Linked DNA regions of Schizosaccharomyces pombe. The gene in region 1 interacts genetically with each later gene. Each region holds a gene or a part of one and is shown on either strand. Other genes may lie near its edges.

Region 1 (2,567 bases):
AAACTCAAAAATACCCAGCAACTAATCAACCATACATTCCGAAATATAGAACAAAGGAATGGAGACAACAATTGGCAAATTTTGCTCGTCTATTCGCCTGGCAAGTCTCATGCGATTTAGACAGTCATAAAAGAGAAGGGCCAGGCATCTTTGAAGGTACGGATGTCAAAATATTTGACTCATTTTAGACTTGAAATCTCCTTGAGGATTATGCTTGAGCGGCATATCTCCGTTTTAAGAATTGAAATGGAGAAATTTGAACTATCCTAAGTTTTGTATGTTCAAAGAGTCTGTTTGAATAGATACTTGGCTTTTTACATCTGTTTTATTTTTTTATTATTTCTTTTCACAAATTGGTTAAAAAAATGTTGTTTCGTTTTTCATTCAGAATTACCACTAGTATGTTACTACTTTTATCGTTATTTTACATTCTCAGTAACTGTTTAGCATTTACTAAAAGATTTTATGTATACACCAGGGATTTATTCTTTGTAGTTTAATAGATAATAAATGCAAATGCCAAACAAATAATGCTTCGCAATAAACATCGGAAAATCAACTCAAGTTGAAATATATTTTTTTTTCAATTGAGCACACTACTCACATAACCAAAGAAAAATCAAAACTATTGATTATTTAACCAAAACCATACTTATGTAGCTCCCTTCTAAAGGCGAAAATTTTTCGACGTTTTCTTATTTGCTCAGTAAGGTTTTGCAGCTAATCGTTAGAACACTATCATTATACCAATTAATTTAATAGAAATACTTACGCAATTGAGTAAGTAGTACATGAAACCGTTTTTTCAGAGTATAACGTTGTCGAGAATATTTATCGTCAGGAGAGAAACGAGCAGGATGCGAAGATTTTGTGACTCTTCCATCTGGAGATACCTTTTTTAAAGTATAAACACGCTTTCCCTCATCATTTAAATAATACATCAAATGCATTGTGAAAAAAAAAACGGATATTACAATTTTCCTATGGTGCTGGAAAGGTGTAAATGTCAAAAGTACCTCAACTTCAGGTGACTGTTTTTGTTGCTAAATTACGCTAAAGCATTATAACACAGACATAATCAAATATTAAATTATTTAGCGACTCTCTTCTTTTATTATTCACTAAAATTTAAAAACAATACTGTAAGCAGAATAAGCAATATGGGGTTAAGGATATAGCAATCTTCGTAAAATTAAAACAGCTATTGTCATTATAATAAATTAGAATAAAATAATTTCTTTTAAAATCCGAGTTTTCAGCTATTAAGAAAATGCGATTAATTATTGACCAAATCAGATCCAACTATTTAGTTTACATCTTTAACATACGTTTGCTTGGAACATTTAGTAATTGCACCTTAGTACACTTAACTTATGGGTTATTAAACAAGGGAGTTAAACCTCTATTTTAAGCAGTTCGTTTTTGATTGTCTTTCTTTAGGGAAATATTATTTTTTTTTTTTTATTGCGCATCTAATTAAGATAGATAATTAATTGATGTCTTTGCTTTAATAATCACTCAAAGAATTGCTCTTTGTCTCCTTTTCAAACATATCCATTAACGTTTGACTAAGTTTGTTCCATGCAACCTCCCCCATTGAATTTTCAAAAAACAAAAGTAAATTAACCAACCGCGGTAGAAGACTGGATTCTGATAAATCATCGTCAGAATATCTTTGTACTCTGATATATTTCCTTGAACAATTGAATATATGGCTCAAATTATCATTCCTAATGATACACTGTAATCCACCTAACTTTTGCACTGCCTTTAAGCTTGATGGGTAAATTATGTACGGACATTGTTTGTGATTATATTTTAGTAACTTCTCTGCTTCTCCGAGATCCAGCGTTTTCCCCACATCTGTAATATGCCAACAGAGCATTCGAATCGGGTTGATCAATAGTCGAGATATAAACCAGTGCGAACTGAATGATTGGTGGTAAAGGCTATTTTCAAAATTTCTTTGCATAAATTTTAAAATAAGTTCTTGTATAGCGATTCTCTGTTTCGGTGTAAGCGACTTTTGTCGCTGATGAACAAATTCTGACAAGTATTGAAACAACGTTGATTCATTGTATTGCTGACTATGTAATTTTGTCAGAGCGATTCCTTTCCTGGAACAGAAAAACAAATTTTTCAGATGAGTAGAAGACATAATTTGATACAGACCACCCATTGCAGCTACAGCATGTAGATGGTATCGTTCCAAATGGAATGGATGGGCAAATGATTTAAGAAATAAGCGGTTTGCCTCCTGTAATACAACCATTTTTTTTGCAATCATTAAATAAGAAATCAGACATAAGGTTGGCTTAACCAACAAGCTAGCGAGCAACGTATTAAATGAAGAAGAAAAAGAATTATTGAAAAGTTCTTTTTCGGATAACTCTTTCCTGGCGACGTTAAACTTTGAAACATATAAATCAAAATTTTGGTATATAGTCTTTTCTGATTCAGGAATAGATAATATTGAAATTGACTCGTTAGATATTAATTTATTAGGAATCACAGTTTTTATGCTTCGAGTAAACTTGTAAGTTTCTTTTTTTGTCTCCTCGACATTT
Region 2 (5,199 bases), 1.0 Mb from region 1:
TTACATCTAATGCGCTCAAGAAATGGTCGGCAAAAAGTGGAAGTTGAAAAAAGGAGAGAACCAAGATACTCGCACAAAATGTCGTTAATGAATACGGCAAGGACTTTTGAGAAAGCAGATGAACTACAAATGTCAATGTATCGTAAAGTATTAATTGGTGTTCCAAGTACAATAAAGCAGAGTGTTCCACTTTGTTCCAACAATGATGCTTGGCGATAGCAAGTATGGCCTTTGTATATGTGATACGTTCTGAAGTAGAAATATTAGATTGTAAACGTCGAAGAATGGATACCCACCAGTTATACAAAGAATGCCTAAGTTTATCCAATTCCGGTTCGGAAACGTTTTTAGTGGTTAAAGAAGCCAAATGTGGTAATAAAAACCCTCTTATAAGAACTACCTTATCAGAATCCTGCTGATTAATAAAATTGATGAATTGCTCGGATAAAGGACACTTTATTGGAGAAACCAGTGGCTCCGAAAGACGTAAGGTAGATTGGACGGCCTTATTTATTAAGCTAGAAGGCGCTATCTCCTCCGCATTAAGGCGTAGGCTTTGAGAAGACAACTGAGAAAAAGGAGAGGTAGAACGAGAAGAGGAATCAGAAGATGATGATGAGGGTGATTCGTTGTAAGGCTCATTTAAGATTGTTGAGGAATGGCTTACTAAAGTGTTTTCATATTTACCATAATCATCTGTAATCGAAAATGGTTCAAAGTTCGAATCAAGGTCGTCAGCTACAAGCACATTGGTTGTATCGACGGGATCATGTTCCTGAATACATTTTACCACAACAGGATAGTTTTTTGTTTGGGAACCCGAATGCTCTTCCTCTTTAAAGGAGGCTGTATTGGGAGGACCCATAATAGCGGCAAGGATCTCATATCGTGATTGAAAGTCACCCATTCAGAATTTCAGAAATGAAGCTAAATGTAAAGAAAAGAATAAGTGTGAAATGCAAATAAAAAGAATATAATTAATCCCTAGATTAAAACCAAATTAATTAACATGAGCCGTGCAATCACCACTAATAAAGAAATGAAGATTTAAAGGACAAGCTATGCAAATGCCAGAAAAAAATGTACCAAATATGCTAAAAGATGCTCAAAAGTTTTTCCTACAGTAGAGAAATTTTGACTTTTTTAATTTTTTAAAAACTTTATCGATAAAAGACAGAGAAATCGGTAACCAAAAGATTCGCGGTTAAAAAAACAAGAAAAATACTTCCGAGTTTAGAATACTTGTATTCTAAAAGAATGAAAAGTAAACAAGTAGAAGATATCTTTAAATTAAATATATGAAATCCGCAATGTAAATTAGCATCCCCAACACTTTCGTTCACACCCAGTGTAGATGCTTGGTTAAGGCTGAGTTTCCGAACCCACCAGCTTGAGGGTATACGGCTACATATGACATATATTTCAGTAGACAAACATAATAAAACCAATAATTAAAATTGTTTTTTTAAGCTAAATGAAAAGACATTTGAAATTTTAAGCTGTATTGTCTTACAGCTTCAACTCAGTGTTCATACAATGCCAATCTCCTTTTGGTAGTTAGTACCCAACAATCGCCTAAACCAAATAGAACCCGCCAACTTACCAAACAAAACGGAATATAAGGACAGAGAATAACTATATGCAACGGATTATAAATAACTGATATTGAGTTTTCTTTTAGATCAAATATTTCAAGTTTAATGTTGGGGAATCGCGAATGATAAAGTTAAGCAATACAATAGGTCAGTATGCGTTTTCGATTGAATGATTCATTCTCCGGAAAGAGTTGGACCATAGATAATGTACAATGGACTCCCCAAAATCTTGTAGCTTGGATTATGGAGCTCAATATTGGACTTAGTGATGAAGCAAAACTATTATTGCCGAACGGAATGTCTTTGAATGAAACCGTACTAAATAGTGAAAGTGATGTGGTTATTTACGTACTAGATCAAAACTTGTTGACTTTCACCTACGATGGTGATAAAATTCCTTCTATTCCTTCTCTGAAAGGACAACCAATATCTAATGTACTTACTGGGATTATAGCTGATTCTTCTTCAGATCAATGGAAAGATAAAATCAGCAAGTGTCTTTCATTATTATCTGATATTTTAGAGTCTTCTTCAAAGATTCATAATCAATTAAGCGTATGCCATGATGAGTATTCTACTAGTATTGTTTCTCCAGAAGTTGCAATGAATTATTTACAAAGAAGACAATCTGGTATGAAAGATTTACTTTTCGTTTTCTACGAAAGACTAGATCGAGTATCTGTGTCTGATTTACTTCATGATTTCCTCGCTCTACCAACTGGTTCTTTACCCATTACTCCTCTTAAAATACTTTCAACAAATTGGACTAAATTGGACTCCTGGTTAAACTCCATTTCAGCTCGTTATGCTGAAGCTCAAAAACGAGTCCAACAGTGCATTGGCGCCGCAAATAGTATTATCGTTTCCCCATTCAAGGAAGTTCCTTCAATCAAGGAAGGAGATGATGCTTATTATCATCTACGTTCCGTCGCTCAGGATGCAGCCAATATATTGCAAGAGATCCTTAAAATAGAGTCAACTTCAACTACTTCTCAAATCAAACCAAAATGTAATTACGAAACCGAAATTACTGATTGCATGGAAAAACTTCAAAGTAATCTGTCGGAATTAAAAAGTTCTAGAAAGTCATCACTAATATCTTTGAAATCTTTTTGGCTTTCCTTTTATAAGGTTTCTCTTAGATATGATGCATTGTACGAATATCTTCGACAAATAGCAGAAGAGCTTGACAGAAGCAAATTCGTTCTTTCTCAGTCTCGAAACATTTTTTCGCTATATATCGACATTTTAATGGAGGCACTGAGGAGGACTGAATGGCAGGAATCATACAATGTAAGCCATGATAGTTCTCTTCCTTTAGACCAGGAGAAGGAGCTTTCTCTTAGGAAGTCTTGGCTCAGTCATTTCTCTAATTTGCTTTTTAATCATGGCCAGCTAAAGTACTTACCAGTTTTAACTCGTGACGAAATTTCTAATTATTTACTCAATATTCAAGCACATCCGAATTACCAAACTTTTCATCAAATGCTAAGCAATCGGCTCTCAGAATATTTGGGCTTTCCTGGAAGTCCTCGAGAAGCCGTTTCCAATACGGTTCAAGCGAACAATTCATTACATGAAAAATTGGCAATGTATCAAAATCGTTGCAATAATTTAGAGGCAATGTTAAGCCATCAAAACGGCTTTAATTATAACATTAACAATGATGGTTTATCTCCAAATGCTCCACATCCACCCATCAATGAGCAGTCTAATTCTTCTCAGCCATTTTACCGTGTTTCCCCTAGTATTGTGCCTCTAAACGTAATTCGTAAATTAACTAATCGCAAAACTTCTTTTACCGACAGCCACATATTACGACTTCAAGATGAGGTTAATCAATTACGCAACGAATTAGATTTGGTAAATAAAAGAAATGAGGACTTATTAATTGAGCTTCAAGGGAAGGAAGAAAAGATCCAATACCTCGAAACTGAAAATGAGGAAGTGCTACAAAAATACGAAAATTTACAGGAGGAACTTTCATCAACACGGAAACTGCTTACGAAAAATGAAGCGGCAGTTGCAGAACAGCAATCAAACGAGGAGATGCATTCTAATGAACCGAACATATTAAACCTTTACTCCGTATTTGAGGGCAAAGTTGATAGCTTGCAAGAACTTTATAATGCTTTCAAGCTTCAACTCACGAGTTTGAAGCAAAAGGGCGAATACGCTACTCTTGCAAAAGATGCCGAAGCAGTACAACATATTATTGAAGAGAGAGATTATGCTCTTGCAGAGAAAGCTGATTTACTCAAACTTTCCGAGAATCGAAAAGAACAATGTAAGATATTAACTCAGAAACTTTATACCATTGTATTCCGGTGTAATGAGTTACAGTCTGTTCTTCGGGAATGCGTTACTCAGCCTGGATTTGATTCAGATAACGAAAGAGATGGCCATGCATCGATTCCAGATCGCCAAATTGAATTTAATTCCAAAGATTTACAGTATCTTTATTGGATGGATGGGGAGGATGCTGATAGGAATTTCCAGGAATTTTTGAACAGAATGAGTTCTTTAGATTTTGACTCTTTCCATAACTTTGTTGTCAGTGTTTTGACTCAAGCACATAATCATGAACTTCGTTGGAAACGTGAATTTCAATCTAACAGGGACAAGGCGCTGAAAGCTATTTTGGACTCTCAAAGTAAAGTCTCATTAAGGAATTTCAAACAAGGATCCTTGGTCTTGTTTTTGCCTACTCGACGTACCGCCGGTAACAAAAAGGTGTGGGCGGCTTTTAATGTTAACGCTCCTCATTATTATTTGAACACTCAACCGCATTTGAAACTTGAAAGCCGCGACTGGATGTTAGGAAGGGTAACTTCCATTGAAGATCGTACTGCTGATGATTCGACGGATAAATGGCTTCGCCTGCCTTCAGGTACAATATGGCATTTAGTGGAAGCTATCGATGAAAGATTTTAAATCATTATGTGACCTAGCTTATACCTTCACTTGCTTTTTCTTTGCTTGTATTTGTGGGACTGATTCTATATGACAGACATTTGGTATTATCATACTTCTATTTTTTCAGGTTTTGATCTGTTATGGCATTATTTACTGAAATTTGTTTTTTGGTCTCGCCTAGTAAGGTATCCGACGTAAATTAACGACTACTATTGCTGTAGCGTGTCTCTCGTCTTGTAACATGATAAATTTTTAATGAACTTTTAATCTATTCGTATATTATTTAATATGTAGAACGCAATCGCTCGCAATAAAAGTGATTTGCAAATATTATTTATCACACCGAACAACGCACTGGTGGTAAGGAGTACCTTATGTAAATTGCTTTGTGTAGTGTGTCCCATCAAAGTACAACCTGGAATTATGATTCCCTCAAAAAATATCCAAAAGATCAAGTTGGTTACGTTCGATGCTTTTGGAACAATCCTTCATTTAAGTAAACCTGTTCCAATTGTGTACAGCGAAGTCGCTCAGAAGTATGGAGTTCATGCAACTATTGATGAAATTGAACACAATAGTAATAAAGGTTAGCTTTTGGTTTCTATTTATCTAATAATTTAGCATTCAAGGATTTCAGTGAAAAGCATAAGAATCATGGAAAAAAGTCAGGATTAAATCCTCATGACTG
Region 3 (6,317 bases), on another chromosome or scaffold:
ATGTCAACTGCATCTACCAATATTTCATCCTCCAAAATAAATAATAATCAAACAGAATTTGAACAATTACGCGATTCCTACAAGTCTCACGGCGATTTAAATAGCGCCATTAACGATTCACGTATTCAATCAATCATTTTCGAGCTTAATCAACAATGTGAAAAAGAGTCAATTCCCGTTTCTAATATCGATTGGCTTCAATGGGCCAGTGTGCCTCTTTTTGCTTATGACCTTCCGCCTGATCCTTCTAATCCCAATGCTACATCCTCCTCTCCCCCTCCCTTGACACCGATTTTAGAACTAATTAAACAAAATAACTTTTGTATTCCATCTCCGTGTCGAAAACTGGTCTGGCAATCCCTTGTTTCCGCTGAACGTAATGAACTTCTAACACTTTACGCTACTTTAAGTACTACTAATAATTCTTTGGATTCTTCTATTCGGAAGATTATTCGTATGCAATCTTTCAGAGGACCTTTGGAGCCTTTTAAATATTCTTCTACTACAAGGCATAAAGTTTCAACTGAGTCTATATTTCACGTTTTGCATGCTTTTACTTTGTTTGATACAACTGTTGAGTATAACATTGAACCTTTGCTATGGTTAACTTGTGCTTTTCTATCGTATATGGCTCAAGGAAACGCCTTCCGTTCGCTAGTTTGTTTCATTCAAAGAGGTGGAATTCGTGAGTTTTTCATATCCCAATCCAGTTCTCTTGACGAAAGTCTTTTCGCTTTGGTTTGGGGTTGTTTGGGTGACTTGGCACCAAGTGTCGCTATCTCATTACAACGTATAAAAGTTAGTTCATTGTGTATACTATATCCATCATTAGCATGCTGCTTTGCCGATTCGTTGCAATTACCCGAAGCACTCCGCCTTATGGATTTAATTGCTATCTACGGCTTGGAAATGTTTGTGCGTCTTCTTGTTGCTATTTTTTTAAAGGATCGGGACAAGATTGTAAATATGGTTTCTCATGAACAGTGGGTTAAGTATTTACGCTCAGACGTTTTAGCTTCATATCGGCAGCCTCTGGTCCAAAAGTATACATTTTACACAAGAACTCCTGTCGACTTAAATGCATGGGTTGAAGATTCACTTGCTCTAAACATCGATACTACTCAGTTCCCATCCTATCTTTCATATCACGAAACCTCCGTATCTCACAACACCTATCGCCAAAATAACTTAGAGGAACTTAAAAATCAAAATGATTATTTAACCTCTCAGATAACTAATTTAGAGGAGGGAATGGTTATGTTGAATAAGGAAAACACTAAACTTTCTGAAGCACTTTCCAACCATCGAGTAACAAGAAGCGAAATGGAGGAGGCTACAGAAATTTTAAAAAATAATTCTGCTGATCTGAAAGCTCAATTAGAGAAACAGCCTCAGGAATTGGAAAATAGGCTTCTTCAAGAAATCTCAATCCTTAAGCAGCGCAATCAAAAATTTCTTAAAAACAATGCTACTTCAATTCAACAAATACAATATCTTGATGAGGAACTTGGAAAGACTTTAAAGCAGCTAAATGACCTCAAGGAAAAACATGCTCAGCTACAAACTAAATGGAAAAGTGTCTCTGAGATGTTTAGAAATTAGCACGATAAACCAAAGATCACTCTTTATTGCTATTATTATTAACATGAAGACTAGTGCATTCAACACTTTTTTAATGATGGATAATTAGGACTCAATGAATGTATAGGCATAAAAATTTAGTGAAGTCAAGTAAACATAGAATAAACAACCTTAAAAAAATAATCATGTCATTTCTATTTCGCAGCGATTTAACTGTTCAAGAATTTGAGAAGGCATACGATATTCTATCAGGAAACTGTACATGACAATTCTTCGTGCTTTTTGTCTATATAGGCGTAACTTATCCACGGATATAGCGTCATTTCCAAAAGATGAAGATTTTTGTTTAGCATAAAGTTCTTTAAGGCTGTTCATGGCTATTAAAACAATACCAGGTACGTTTTGTAATAAATTTTCATTGAGAAATCGAAATTCTTTTGCAAGTTTTCTCACAACAAAAGTTTCACAGTCTGAGTCAAGTGGGTCAAGGGGTAAAATTTCTAACTGCTGTAAAGACGATAAAGCTTGTTCATAGTCTTTATTGGTATATGCATTGAACGCCTCCACAGTCAATAAAAGCAAATTCGTCGTCTCGCGATTTTTGTAATCCACTTTGGCATACAAAGAAGGGTTTCTGTTGTATACATCCATCATACTTTTAGTTAAAGATATAAGTTTATCGGGAAAAACAAACTGGTCCAAAAACCTTAGCAATGCAGAGCCCAGCCGTCTATTTATAACTGTTACTGCCGCATCGTAATCCTCAGCTAAATGATATAAAAGAATGGCATCAGATAATAATCCCTGATCATCAGCCTGTTTAGCAGCAGTAAGAGTGATTTTTGATAAGTATTCTTTTACAGAAGAAAGACCAATCAAAGACCTGTGATTCTCCAAAAAGGAAGGAGTCCTCTCGCCATCACCACGTATATCGCCAAGAAGATTAACATAATCACGAGTAGAAAGTACCAAACTGCACAGAGATTTATGACACATCGAGATATATTTATCAATTTTGCACATTGGTATAAGATAACAGGCAGACATTACAGGACTTAATTCTTGACAAGTTTGGGTATAATCGATTAACAACCGATCGAATTCAAGGGAAGGCTTCCCAGATTTTGTTTCAACCAGCATTGATTGAATCTTTCCAGGTTCATTACTGACAACTGAGCTAGAAGGTGCAGTGCGCAACAGACCGTAGTATGCGCAAGTAATGGCAAAATGGACTGCATCGGTTGGAAAATAAGGATATAAAAAATTAATGGCACGCTCGTAAAGACCACAAAGCATTAACAAAAAGAAGTACATAACGGGATTAGATCCGTTGTTAGTAAAATAATCGGAGCCATACGAAAGCAAAATATGTTGAACATCTTCCAATGAAAAAAATTCGTGAGCGGAAACGCTTTTTTCAGTAAATTCACGTGACAAAATTAACTGGAACCAGATGTAATCTTCAGTGACAGAACAAATCGATGGACACGAAGTTTTAGAAAGGTCGCAGCGTCCAATTATTTTGTATACTGCATACTTATAAGGATCAGAAGATTCCTGTAGACGAATGGTTTGATTAAACTCAGAAAACAATTGACTCCGAAGTTGCCTTGGTAAAATACCATTCGGAGCCTTCGCATAAGCATTGATATAAAAAGGAAATTTCTCAGCCACCTTTTCAAAAAGATCTCTGTTTTCTTCAGTAAAGTCCACTGCTTCCTTTAAAAAACCACATCGTAATAGATAGAATATGAAAGCCCATATAGGAACATCTTGGATTATTTCTAAATCTGGATTAATCCAAACACCGTTCCTTAATAGACGAATGTTCAAATACGCTCGAATTTTGTTACGTATTGAAGGAACACCGCCTACCAAAGCAGCCTGGGGGGTTTTTGCAATTTCCTTATTCAAAACTTCAAAAAATTGAGCTTCAAGGAACTTACGGGAACAGTCAGAAATCCTTTGATAGAACCGAGAGTTAACCGAGCCATCCTCAGTCTCAATGTCAAAGGCTTTTGAGATTATGCCTTTATTGCCAAACACTGTCACAGAATCCTTATCCAATATAACAGAGGAAAGTAACTTCCAGGATTCGTAAAGGAGAAGAGACTTTGTATCATGAGCAAATTCTCTTGCAACCTCACAAAAAGAACTGACAAGCTTTGATTGAAATCCGTGCAGTGCTTCCTCCTCAAGACACATTTTTAAAGTGGAAGCAAACTTCTGCGAACGTTGCACCGAGAAAGGATAAAAGGATACTCTCTTTTTATTTTCAAGTAAAATATTATCAAAGGAGGGTCTGCTTTTTGCAGCTTTGGAACGCCATTCCTCTTCCAAATATTGATCGAACGCTATTTGGGTGTTTTGTACCAATGCTTCCAAAGAATTTAAAACATTTTTTTCTCGATGATACTTCAAAAACATATCTACATCGGTAAAGGACAACTCGAGAGTAGTGGGAGGTCTTACTTGTAGAGAGAGCGACTCAATTTTCTTCCATGTTTGTTCGGCATTAATACCGCTTCCAGCAAGCAAATAATGGCTATATCGTTCATTAGACAAATATATCTAATAGGATACAAATAACTTACGCTTTTGTATTACCATCCTTACTAGTAGGAACGGTGTTCAAGTAATGTTTTGCGCGTTGTTCAATCTCACCCAAATTGAACTGGATAAACGGAAGACATGGTTCCAACAACTCATTAGCAAGTTTACGAGACTTTTGATCTAAAAAAGGTATGCCTCTAGCTTCCTTTGGTGAATCGTCAGACGCAACCGTCATGGCGATGGTCAAGATGTAAACAAGCACAATGCGTTTGAGAGAATCTGTCTCGGTGAACTAAGGAAATTGAAGTCACCGAGTTCACCGAACCTTAATTGTTAAAAACAATATTTCATACTAAACAGGTCAACAGTAAAACGTTAAAGAGTATTTGAATCATCCTTGTACTCGGTTGGAATTACAAATTCTTATGCAAAAAGCTTTGCTTTACGTATACAGCAAGTGTGAAGTCAAGTCTGTCTATGTGGATGTGAAAGGGCTTAAAAAGTATAAAATTAAAAATTTTAAAATACTATTTTCAAACATCGATTGTTCTCGTTTAGCTCTTACTATCATTTAAAAGCCAATACATATGAATTCACAGAATCAGCAGTGAATTATTTGGGCCCTTAGGGACAGCAATAGGGAAATGATATTTAATATTGGTAAAAAGTGTTCAGAATTTAGAGAAATAACTGAATGGATGATATTTCAAACCCTCTTACTACTAACAGCCGTGGTCGCTCATACTCATACGTTTAATGACCCATAATTGAATATAGGATTAAGAAATCGTCAGAAATTTAAAAATAAATATATATAAACTAGCAAAAAATATTTTAGTATAGATAAGGCTACCATTGTCTCGTGGTGTGCGATTTCCCAATAAAGCTATTTGCTATAAGCGTTTTGCTTTTGTAGGTAAATATCAAAGCCATTAGTTAATTAAAGGAAATGGGACAGAATCTGGAAAATCAAGTATTGTGCCTCGGTTGACACTCGTAAACTAGAAGAGATTATGTTCAACTCGCATTACAATATCATATACATGAAACCAAATAGTCTCCTCCATTTTCAGCAGAAGAAATAATGAAATCGTTAAATATTTACATGCTGATTTCGTTAGAGATTTATTCAAAAACTGATTACTTACTCCTCAATTGCCCACATATGTGCCTCGTGTTCTTGTGCCTTTCTCTCATTTTGGCGCTGAAACCATTTATTTTCAAATCCATTACCACGAATAATTCCATCCCAACGATGGCCAGGTCGTATATTAAACCTATTGGGAGGCGCATATCCTTGATAAGTAGCTTTTGATGATACAGGTTTATTAGTGAGAAACGAAGCAGCTGGGTCATTCCAACGAGACCTTTCTTTCAATTCCTTATTGTATTCAGGATCGTCCTCATAACGCGCCAATGGCACCGTTTTTTGCCTTTCAAGTTCTTTTAGGTATTCTTTCTGTTGACGCACTTGAACCACACCTTGTTGTTGTTCCTTCTGTCTTCTAGCTTCTTCCTCTTTCTCTTTTAATTTTCTTTTGGCTTCTTTTCTTGCAAGAACCAGATCTATCCTTCTCCCTGTGGCATCTCTGTAAACAGTTTCGCGACTTTTGCGAAGCTCTTCCTCATCAAGATTGGATGATTTCTCTTCTCTCTTTCTTCTTTCTTCAGCTTTAAAGGTCACCTGCTTTCCAGTTAACAGACCGAACTGAGGAATTGATTCAGCATCATGAGAATCCTGTTGTTCAGATTCGACAACTTCATCATTCCCCACAGCTTTCCACAACTGAGCAGGTTTATTAGTAGTTTTTTCTATATTCTGATAAATAGCATCAATATCTCGATCTTTAAGGCTTTCATTTGCGACAATTGTAGGGGCATCATGCAAAGATGTGAGTTCTCTGTTGACTAGTGAAAATGAATTGTCATCGTCCCATCCAGCGACATCTTCATCCTGAATTTCTACAAAATCCTTCTCTTTCTTCTTTTTCTTTTTCCCTTGATCTTTTCGTAAATACTTTTTAGCAATATAGTCGGCGTTTGACATATGTGCTGAATGCATATTTTCTTACCTGAGCGCTTCTTAACTCGCTACCTTCCAACACCGGCGGAAGATCAGTATTGACATATTTTATCGGAGAACATGGATTCACAAGAGACAAAAGTTTTTGAAAATGTAAAGC

The links. Genes that interact genetically often act in the same process or in processes that back each other up.
Region 2: mutations in nop10 (region 1) and atg11 together harm fitness more than expected from each alone (negative genetic interaction), as found in Schizosaccharomyces pombe (one large-scale study listed by BioGRID).
Region 3: mutations in nop10 (region 1) and nup97 together harm fitness more than expected from each alone (negative genetic interaction), as found in Schizosaccharomyces pombe (one large-scale study listed by BioGRID).

Annotation. Positions count from the first base shown.
Region 1 is NC_003424.3:1,634,555-1,637,121, forward strand, and holds nop10 (snoRNP complex protein), read right to left. Parts: upstream 951-2,567; coding exon 773-950; exon of another isoform or gene 721-772; coding exon 704-720; 3' UTR 557-703; downstream 1-556. Other genes in the region: SPOM_SPAP27G11.12 (uncharacterized protein), read left to right, coding at 1-188; SPOM_SPAP27G11.14C (uncharacterized protein), read right to left, coding at 1,508-2,567. UniProt on the Schizosaccharomyces pombe protein: Non-catalytic component of the H/ACA small nucleolar ribonucleoprotein (H/ACA snoRNP), which catalyzes pseudouridylation of rRNA and is required for ribosome biogenesis.
Region 2 is NC_003424.3:2,629,919-2,635,117, reverse strand, and holds atg11 (autophagy associated protein kinase regulator Atg11), read left to right. Parts: upstream 1-1,566; 5' UTR 1,567-1,748; coding exon 1,749-4,529; 3' UTR 4,530-4,670; downstream 4,671-5,199. Other genes in the region: protein ahk1, read right to left, coding at 1-907; SPOM_SPAC7D4.05 (hydrolase), read left to right, coding at 4,935-5,097, 5,133-5,199. UniProt on the Schizosaccharomyces pombe protein: Involved in cytoplasm to vacuole transport (Cvt), pexophagy, mitophagy and nucleophagy. Recruits mitochondria for their selective degradation via autophagy (mitophagy) during starvation.
Region 3 is NC_003421.2:2,163,084-2,169,400, reverse strand, and holds nup97 (nuclear pore complex component nup97), read right to left. Parts: upstream 4,381-6,317; 5' UTR 4,370-4,380; coding exon 4,176-4,369; exon of another isoform or gene 4,127-4,175; coding exon 1,765-4,126; 3' UTR 1,603-1,764; downstream 1-1,602. Other genes in the region: SPOM_SPCC1620.12C (GTPase-activating protein), read left to right, coding at 1-1,602; protein Cwf26, read right to left, coding at 5,236-5,242, 5,283-6,181; transcription factor TFIIF complex alpha subunit Tfg1, read left to right, coding at 6,278-6,317. UniProt on the Schizosaccharomyces pombe protein: Has a role in meiosis.